Xenopus tropicalis: one gene and its partner. The protein of the gene in region 2 purifies or fractionates together with the protein of the main gene of each other region. This does not show direct contact. Links are inferred from orthologs where the notes say so. Each region holds a gene or a part of one and is shown on either strand. Other genes may lie near its edges.

Region 1 (4,843 bases), on a different chromosome or scaffold from region 2:
GTTAGCCCAGATGTCCAGTAGGGGAAACAGTTTTGATGCGACAGATGACCTTTGAAGTATGCTTCACTGAAAAAAGATCCATTACCCAGAAGCCTCTTATCCATTACCTCCGAAATATGGAAATACAATCTCTCATTAAGCCCATTGTATGCAAGAAGGTTTTATATTTTTAAGCTTGTCTTTTTTTGTAATAATAAATTGGTTGTTAAACAATTCTTTTGAGATTGTTTTAATGTTTAAATGATTTTTAAGTAGATTTAAAGCATGGTGATTCAAGTAAAGGAAAAACTATCTGGAAAAGGACAGGTGCCAAGTTTTTCTTATAATAGATCCCATACCTGTATATATTACCACTCAAGGTCTTAAACCAGTTGTTCCCAAACTGTGTGGCTGGCTTACCAGGGGAACTTGGAATGGTGGCAGTAGATCTCAGAATAAAGGCAGGGAGATTTGGGGAGTATATGTATTTACTATGCTTGATATTTTTTTTTAAACAAAGTCTGAATGACTGATGCACCTTTTCCTATATCTGAACTCATTTCATGATGATAGGGGCCCCTGGTCAAGCTGAAAATGTTTGACAACCACATATAAACCAGTCACCACTTGCCACTGCTTCTCAGTTTCCACAATGTTGATTTGTGTCAAAAGTGCCTAATGTATCATGCACTACTTAATAAGGACAGGATGTTAAACATTTAAAAATCTAATCACATTAATTGACAATCCACAATTACATGCAAGAAATACTTCCATACCTTCCAGAATTACCCTTTAAATCTGTACCAATTATGAAATCTCAGCAGTACAACATTGCATGTATTTCCAGCCTCTTTTTTTGTTATTGAAACAAGAAAATAGCAGATTCAAGGTTATAATAACAAATATACATTTGTATAACACTCCTTGATTAGAAGATCCTTTATATAAACCATACTTGTGGCTGGAGCAGTTTTTAGGAGCAAATATCATATTTTGTTTTATCTTTTACGTCACTGTTTATAAAATACAAAATCAAAACCATTATTGTCTGCATTAAAACAAAGTCATTATGTTGGGGATCGGTTTAGCGTAGCGAAGCCCTGCATGAGTGAGGCCATCACAGCGCATGTGATAGCGTGCACTGTTTGCGTGTTAATGTGTGAGACAAACGGGATCCTCACCTTGACAAACGTGATTGGGGTAGTGGTACCCTCAATATCTAACAGGATGACTGTAACTGGCGGCGGCACGGAGAATAAAGCCATTATGGCAAAGCACCAATTGCCCCGCGTTGCTGAATTGGTGCGACGTTCAAGTCAGCTCCTAACGCTCATGTGGCTGAATAAAAAAAACTGCTTCGCCGTAACAGGAAGGGAGGTTTACGGACATACGGATTAATGGGCAAGGTAAAAGTATATTTAGCTGTAGAGTTATTAGACGTTCGTTGCCGGAATAAATGTTTGCTCCTTGGCTAAAAACCACTCGAACAAGAAGGCATTAAAGCCTTCACTTTTCCCAAGCACAACCATTTTGCACACGACTACAAGGCGCCATATTCTAAAAACGCCATGTGACTCCATTGTGTCTATCCAGCGCTACATTACTGGGTAGAACTCCCGCATAATAGAAATCGGGCCAACGAACGCAGAGCAGCCACGCCCATCTCCGCTTCTCTCCAATAAAAACACAGCGCATTAACGTGACGACACTGAAACTTGCGAAGCCCATTGGCTAACTCTTTTGGTATATAAAGAGAGGGTGGGCGATTTCAGGCTCTTTTCCACATTTGCTTAGTGTGTGTGTTCGTAAGGGGCTTTTGTATTCGTCAATTAGACCGTAATCATGACCGGATTTGGTGCCACCCCGGACTTCAACGAAGGCTCAAAAATCAATGCCAGCAAAAACCAGCAGGATGAAGGGTAAGTATTCGCAGGTATTAGACGAAGTATTCCTTCAAATCTCGATTTGTCTGAATATATATTTTACAGGGCTGGAAATGAGCGTGCAGTTAATCTTCTTAAACGTAGGTTAGTGAGTAGTTTGGGCGGTATTTTTAAAGCCGCGAAATAGCTCTCTACTACGGTGCTGTTTGCGGTGGCCGAATTTTTTTGTTGCACTATCAAGAGGTTATATATCTAGTCTCGCGAGAAGAGCTAGCTGCGCTATATTTTCGGAAGGCCTAGCCTATTCTTTCCTGCGGATTAGGGAATAGGGAAGTCGTCATCACCAGCAAATAGGAGATCTCGGGCGGGGTAAGTGATGTATCGACCAATGGCATCGGCCGTGACGTCACATTGATAGTAATGCGCGCTCTTGGCGCAACGTGAACTGTAGGCGGCGCTGCGGCTCTCCGACTTATGCTTAGAAGAAAACTACACTGTTCTAGTCGAGCGACTCGATTTCTAGAGCTGTTGTATAACAAGCGCAGTGCTGTAATTTTAATATTTTGCGTCTTTTTCTTAGCCATATGTAACGACCACTGTTTTATTTTCGTGTGCAGCAAAATGTTCATCGGGGGTCTGAGTTGGGATACAAGTAAGAAAGACCTTACAGAGTATCTGTCTCGGTTTGGGGAGGTGGTAGATTGCACAATCAAAACTGATCCAGTGACTGGGCGTTCAAGAGGATTTGGCTTTGTTCTTTTCAAAGATGCTGTGAGCGTTGACAAAGTGAGTAATCTGCCTGGCTGGAGGTGTATTGTCTGTGCCTAAAATCAAGTTAACTTATCACTTAATATTTTATTAAGGTGCTTGAAACAAAAGAGCATAAACTAGATGGCAAGCTCATTGACCCAAAAAGAGCTAAGGCACTAAAAGGCAAAGAGCCTCCCAAGAAAGTGTTTGTTGGCGGACTCAGTCCTGAAACAACAGAGGAGCAGATCAAGCAGTATTTTGGTGGATTTGGAGAAGTAAGTATACTGTTTTTTTCTTAGATCACTTTGAAATGATCTATTGATTTAGTTGAGTTTACTGTTGGCTAGCACATAGCTTTTCTTTTTTGTGATATTAAAGGAGTTGTTCGCCTTAAGATTAACTTTTAGCATGATATAGACATTGATATTCAGAGACAATTTGCAACTGGTTTTTATTTTTGGCTATTTATTCAGCACCTCTCCAGTTTGCAATTTCAGCAGCTATCTGATTACTTGTTTACCTTAACAACCAGGCAGCGGGATGAATGAAAGACTTGAACATGAATAGATGAGGGACTAAATAGAAAGAAAAGGATTAAAAAGTAACAAACACTATTATAGTCTTAAAGAGCAATAGGCTTTTGGTTCCTGGGGTCAGTGACCCCCATTTGAAAGCTGGAAAGATGTAGACAAAGAAGACAAATAATTTGAAAACTACAAAGAATAAATGATAAAGATCAAATGCAAAGTTGCTAGAAATAGTAGGGCACCATTCCAGAGTAAAGCTGGCAAGTTTCACATACTGGGTGGCACCTAGGATATTGAGGGGGGGGGGGGTGCTGGGCATTGCTTACTGTTAGTGTTAAATAGCATTTAGCAATGGAATTTAGACTTTTCTGTGTAAAATGAAGCTGAATTGTTTTGTCCCCCTCACAGATTGAAAATATTGAGCTGCCAATGGACACAAAAACAAATGAAAGGAGAGGCTTTTGTTTTGTCACCTATACAGGCGAAGAACCAGTAAAGAAACTTTTGGAAAGCCGGTTCCATCAAATTGGTACAGGAAAGGTACGATTTGCCAGCTTTTTCCTGTTGTCTGTACTTTTAATTTTACGAAGTGAAATATTAAGTTTTGGTTTTTTTACCCATAGTGTGAAATAAAAGTTGCACAGCCCAAAGAAGTCTACAGGCAGCAACAACAGAAGCAGCAGAAGGGAGGAAGAGGAGCAGCCACTGGAAGGGGTGGTGCCAGAGGAAGGGGCAGAGGTGGGTATCATATGGGACAAGTGTTCTTTGGCATGTGCCATTGCTGTACCTTATGCAGTCCACTTTTTTCTTTTTTTGCAGGGCATTCATTTGTCCTATGCAGTGCAAAAATTAGTTTTTTGGGTGTTTTTTTTGTTGCTAAATGTCTTTGAAGCTGCAATTGACTGTTAATGCTTATGCTGGCCCCATGTTTAAAAGATTACTGCAAAACTCCAAGGTTTGAACGGAACTTAAATTTTTTTTCCCCCTCTTTTAGGTCAAGGTTGGAATCAAGGCTACAGCAACTACTATGATCAGAACTATGGAAGCTATGGAAACAATGGTTCTTATGCTGATCAAGGGTATAATAACAGTTATAGTGGTTATGATTACTCTGGATATAACTATGGAAGCTATGGATATAATCAAGGATACACAGACTACAGTGGTAAGTTTTCTGGAAAAGCTTTCATTTGCAGGCACACACTTGATAATGAAAAGTTAGTCATTGAGGTAGTTAATTCTTAAGGTTATGTTATACTGCTTCTTTGGAGAGACTTGGGGGGAAAAATGTGTTTTAAAAATACACTTAAATGAGAAGAGAAACTTGGCAGCTTTTTGTTAGTAACTACAAATTTGCTAGCAGCCATATGCACAGTTATGTACATTTGCTGGTAAATACTGGCTTAATTCAAAGATGACTTGTTTACTACTCCAGTTTATGGTTTGCATTAGGTATAATCTTTTATAAAAATCATTATTTTGGCTTGTGCCCCTTAACTTTAACGTCGTTCTACTTTTTAGGGCAACAAAGCACATATGGCAAAGCAAGAGGTGGAGGAAACCATCAAAACAATTACCAGCCTTACTAAAGCGGTGACTATTGAAACCTAAGGTGGGTACTTTATGCTATTGCTGATGAAATGCTGATGTGTGGGTTATTTGTTGTGTTTGGTTTTTTTTTTTACATTAAGCTTTAATAAA
Region 2 (4,599 bases):
AATGCTCATCTAGCTTACACTAGATTAGTCAAAGCTAATTGACTGCTATGGTTTACTGCACTGCTACTGCTAAAAACCTATGTTAGCCCTAAAGTATACAACACATATGGTTAAACTGATGGTTCCACAACAATGAGAATGACGTTCTGAGAAACTGTTCTCAACTTACGTGCCAAGATCAGATGGTTTGTTTTTCAACTGTTCAATCAGTTCTTTGTAACTGGGGTCACTCAGCAACGCACGGGTACGAGGATCAGACTCCAGTTTTTGGTATAAGTTTGGAGAGTTGAAGGGATTCATGAATTTTCTCTCTGAAGAGGAGTGGGGAAAACAGAGGGATCAGTGGGAACACTGTCTGGCTTCTTCATCTTATGGAAGAAACAGAAAATGTTATAGTACCTGCCAGCCTGGCCTCCATATTTTGCAGCCCTTCTTTCAGCTGTGCATTTGCTGGCTCGTGCCTCAGCCCCTCTTCATAAGTTTTCTTTGCTTCTTCAAAACGATTCAGAAATTCTAAAGCTGCTGCTTTCCTAGAGTAACCCTAATAGAAAGATAACAATAAGACACTTATAGATATACACAAATTATTACCAACAGGTTTACAGGTCACTACATATGCTTAGCTCTACAGCTCCCACCTTCCCCCAGTCTGGTTTCAGCTCCACGGTTTTGCCGCCATCTTCCAGTGCTTTGGTGAACTCTTTCTTTTTGGCAAAGGCTGCAGAACGATTGCTGTACAGGACGTGATTTTTAGGGTCAAGTTTGATGGCTTCGGTGTAGCATTTGACTGCTTCATCCAGATCCCCTGCTGAAAGTGCTTTGTTTCCTTTCTCTTTCAGTGCGTTTGCCTGATGGGAAAGAACAGGGACAACAATTTTGAAACATATACATAACGATATGTCATTTGTTATAATGAAAGTATGTACAAAGATATCAAATCTCTATGCCTTCCACTGCTGCTTAATTAACTCTTGCGCCACTGGTGCCTGGAACTAAATTGCTGCCACCCCCACTCTGACTCACTTTGGGCAGCGTGGGCTGAAAAGAAAATTGAAGGGAAGGGGAAAGCAGAATTTAAACATGTCATTGCCTCAAACTATGCCTTGCTAGGCACCCTTGGCTCAAATAGTACAAATAATAACATGCTCAACTGCAGGTTGAATATAAAAATAAGAGATATATACATAATACATAAAAAATATCTGGATCCCTGTGTACCTATAAAAAAAATAAATAAATAAAAAAATTCTTTTTTTGCCTAATCCTGCAACATGCATAAGAAAATAAAGGTTCAGTTCAGTAGAAAGGAACTGGTGACAAACATAAATAATAATAAAATATGCATGATATATTTCTGTTATAGCACAGGTTAATGTTCTACAGACATTTTTGTAGCTATAATTCCCACATCAGGGGATTCCCAGCCCTGTGTACCATTAGCCTAAAACTTGTGGCCCACGGCCATTTTATACACTACTGCCATACAGAGATAAAACAGCAGCAGGCTAATTGCCCTTCTACCTGTCACTGCTCTGAACAATGAGCTGCGATAGGCAGACAGGGGTATTTTGAATGCTGCTGTTGTTCACTAGATGACAACATCAAGCAAAACACCCCATATGCCCCTTGCCTAAGAGGAATAGGTAAGAGAAAGGACTCCAATTCAATTACCCTACTTATGCCCAGCTGTGCCAGCGCTACTTTCTTTTCCAGGAAACCAACTAAATGTAACATAAAAATTATCAAGCTGCATACTGTGAATCCCTCTCCATAACACTTGTAGACAAAGAGGCCAAAATACTGGGGCTCATTTAATAATGGTTTGGGTGCACCTGCATCTGAGGCATATTTGCTCTCTTAACTACCTCACACTGAATGCAGGCAGTGCTGAAGTCATGGTCAGGTCCTTACTTGCACCTACATGTGCTGATGGAGGGACAGAGTGCAAAGTAACAATAACACTGACTTGCATCTGTGCACCCTGCCACTGCATCTGTATATAAAATGACAAACTATTAATATGAAGATGTATATATTGCAAATGTGAAAGTTCATAGGAAAGATCAGATGGCAGGCTGGCCAAGCATGTAAAGTTGGTACATCGTCCTTTGCCATTGCTGTTCTATGGTTATCTTCTGACTACACACAACTGGAAATTTGTTTCTTTGGGCCAAACCGACCAAAATGGTTAAACCTGTCCAGTCTATAAAATGTCCAATAGCCATGGTACAAACATGTCTCTTCTAAATGCTACTTGGACACAAGGACTGGGAGGGAATTTGTACTAAGTCGTGTACTTACTGTCAATACCTTTAAGTTTATAGCCGTCTTAAGAACTGTAGTTCATTTCTACAGAACCCACCCTTCCTCTTTAATAATACTTGGGATTCTCTCTTACAGATTTCCCAGATGACTATGCCAATATAATTGCCTCAGTAAAAACTTTTATTCAAAGATGTAGACGTACACATACAATAGCATAAATCCAGATTAATCCAGATTTTTAAACGTTTTCCTTCAATATCTGTGTCCCATCAGAAACTATTCAATGTCCCATCACAATGCAAAAGTCTTATTTCTAAATTTTAGGGTAACCAAAAAATTATTTTGCTGTGGGACCCATGAACTTCTTACTACACCAGAGATCACCAGTAGCTGGTGGAGGGAGTTCCAAATAATGACAATTTTATTAGGTGAACAATACACAGTAAACCTTTAGAATAAATAAGAGTAGGGTTGATTAGCTAAGTTGCCTACCATATGGCTATACAGAAACCAGTGCAGTCTGCAGGCTGATGGTTTTACAGGCGTAAATCCCAAGGAGAAGCATGGAAACTAGAAACAAGGGTGAGCTATTGCCCCTATTGGAGAAACTGACAGACGTGGCATGAGATGGCAGAGACTGGCAGAAAAATAACTCCTGACGCCACAATGCCAGTACGGCTGGAAGCTGCAGTTCTGCAACTACTCTTGCACTGAATGCTATTGAGGGCAGTTACCAATCGTCTGAAAGGAAGAACAGCTATCCCACATAGCCCAGACCCTCACTCCATGACTTAATGACTGACCCACAAGTATAAATTCCCCGCAACTATGGAAAGCTTACTTGTCCCATAACGCGGAGCAAGTGTGTGGGTTAGCATTTATAATATCCCCATCACTCTTAACTAACAATTTGCCACTTACCGCCTCCATTGCAACCCTCTGATTCCGACCTCCCCACGCGTCTTCTCGAACCTACTAAACGATGACAGTTCAATTCCCGCCTACCGAGTGTGCAACTATTGGGCGAACATTTTAAGCTCCCTTCGCTGACAGGTCAATGCTGTTATCCATCACGTACCCACGCCCCTTGCTGACTCTCCCAGCAAGACTTCCTTGTCCTTGTTTTATCCCGCCCATTCACTACTTCTAAAGCCGATTGGCTGGCTGTAAGCTCACGCTTGGGGAGAAATTGGCTGGAGGATTCTGGAAGCTTCTACTACGCCAATTGGTTGCTACGAGGGCCTAGAGTTCTGATTGGTTTTAAGACCCCACTTGTTTCATTGAGGAAAAGTGATGTCACTTCCAACCAACAATGTGTTCGGTTGTACAGAGCTGCAGGGACACTACCAATACATCTCTCACATTTCTTATACTTACTTTTCTTGGCCCTAGCAGGGAATTTCATTTATACATAATAACCTCCATGGTCAGCAGTACTGAAAAGGTTCTGAATCCCTTTGTGAATACCTTTTTTCACTATGTTGTATCTTGTGGCTCAGATTCCAGGATCATCAGAACCCCAAGAAGAAGTACTAGTGAATTGTGAGCACACTAGGGGGCTGATTTACTAATCCACGAATCCGAATGAGAAAAATTCGGATTGGAAAATGAACATTTTGCGACTTTTTCGTATTTTTGCGATTTTTTTCGTCGCCATTACGACTTTTTCGTAAATTGTAGCGACTTTTTTATAACCATTATGACTTGCGTGAATTGTCGCAACTTTTTCATAGCCATTACAAATTTCGTGAATTGTCGAGACTTTTTCATAGCCATTATGACTTTCGTGAATTGTCGCGACTTTTTCATAGCCATTACGAATTTCGCAAATTGTCGCAACTTTTTCGTATTGAGCGCTCGAAAAATTTGCGACAATTCACGAAAAAGTCGCAAAATACCAATCATTACGAAAAAAACACATTCGGACGCTTTTCGGACGTTCGTGGATTAGTAAATGTACCCCTAGGTGTGCAAGGAAGGTAACTGAATTAATAGGCCAGTACCCTGACTAGACGCTCAAGTACAGTGATCCCCAACCAGTGGCTCAGGGACAACATGTTGCTCACCAACCCCTTGGATGTTGCTCTCAGTGCCCCCAAACCAGGGAGTTATTTTTGAATTCCTGACTTTGTGGCAAGTTTTGGTTGAATAAAGTCAAGATTTACTACCAAATAAAGCCCCCTGTAAGCTGATAGTGTGCATAGAGGCTGCCTAATAGCCAATCTTAGCCCTTATTTGGCTCCTCCATGAACTTTTATGATGCTTGTGTTGCTCTCCAAGTCTTTTTATATTTGACTGTGACTCATGAGTAAGAAAGGTTGGGGGTCCCTGCTC

The links. Proteins that work in one complex are often made in the same cells at the same time.
Region 1: the proteins of stip1 (region 2) and hnrnpdl fractionate together in Homo sapiens (co-fractionation; 3 studies listed by BioGRID, with this or other methods). This does not show direct contact. The link is inferred for Xenopus tropicalis from reciprocal best matches to the Homo sapiens genes STIP1 and HNRNPDL.

What each region holds. Positions count from the first base shown.
Region 1 is NC_030677.2:82,326,723-82,331,565, reverse strand, and holds the start of hnrnpdl (heterogeneous nuclear ribonucleoprotein D-like), read left to right. Parts: upstream 1-1,758; 5' UTR 1,759-1,824; coding exon 1,825-1,901; intron 1,902-2,482; coding exon 2,483-2,651; intron 2,652-2,728; coding exon 2,729-2,890; intron 2,891-3,550; coding exon 3,551-3,682; intron 3,683-3,765; coding exon 3,766-3,880; intron 3,881-4,136; coding exon 4,137-4,307; intron 4,308-4,663; coding exon 4,664-4,731; 3' UTR 4,732-4,754; intron 4,755-4,843. UniProt on the Homo sapiens protein: Acts as a transcriptional regulator. Promotes transcription repression. Promotes transcription activation in differentiated myotubes. Binds to double- and single-stranded DNA sequences. Binds to the transcription suppressor CATR sequence of the COX5B promoter.
Region 2 is NC_030680.2:35,680,168-35,684,766, forward strand, and holds the start of stip1 (stress-induced-phosphoprotein 1), read right to left. Parts: upstream 3,202-4,599; 5' UTR 3,196-3,201; coding exon 3,187-3,195; intron 849-3,186; coding exon 639-848; intron 542-638; coding exon 400-541; intron 312-399; coding exon 170-311; intron 1-169. UniProt on the Homo sapiens protein: Acts as a co-chaperone for HSP90AA1. Mediates the association of the molecular chaperones HSPA8/HSC70 and HSP90.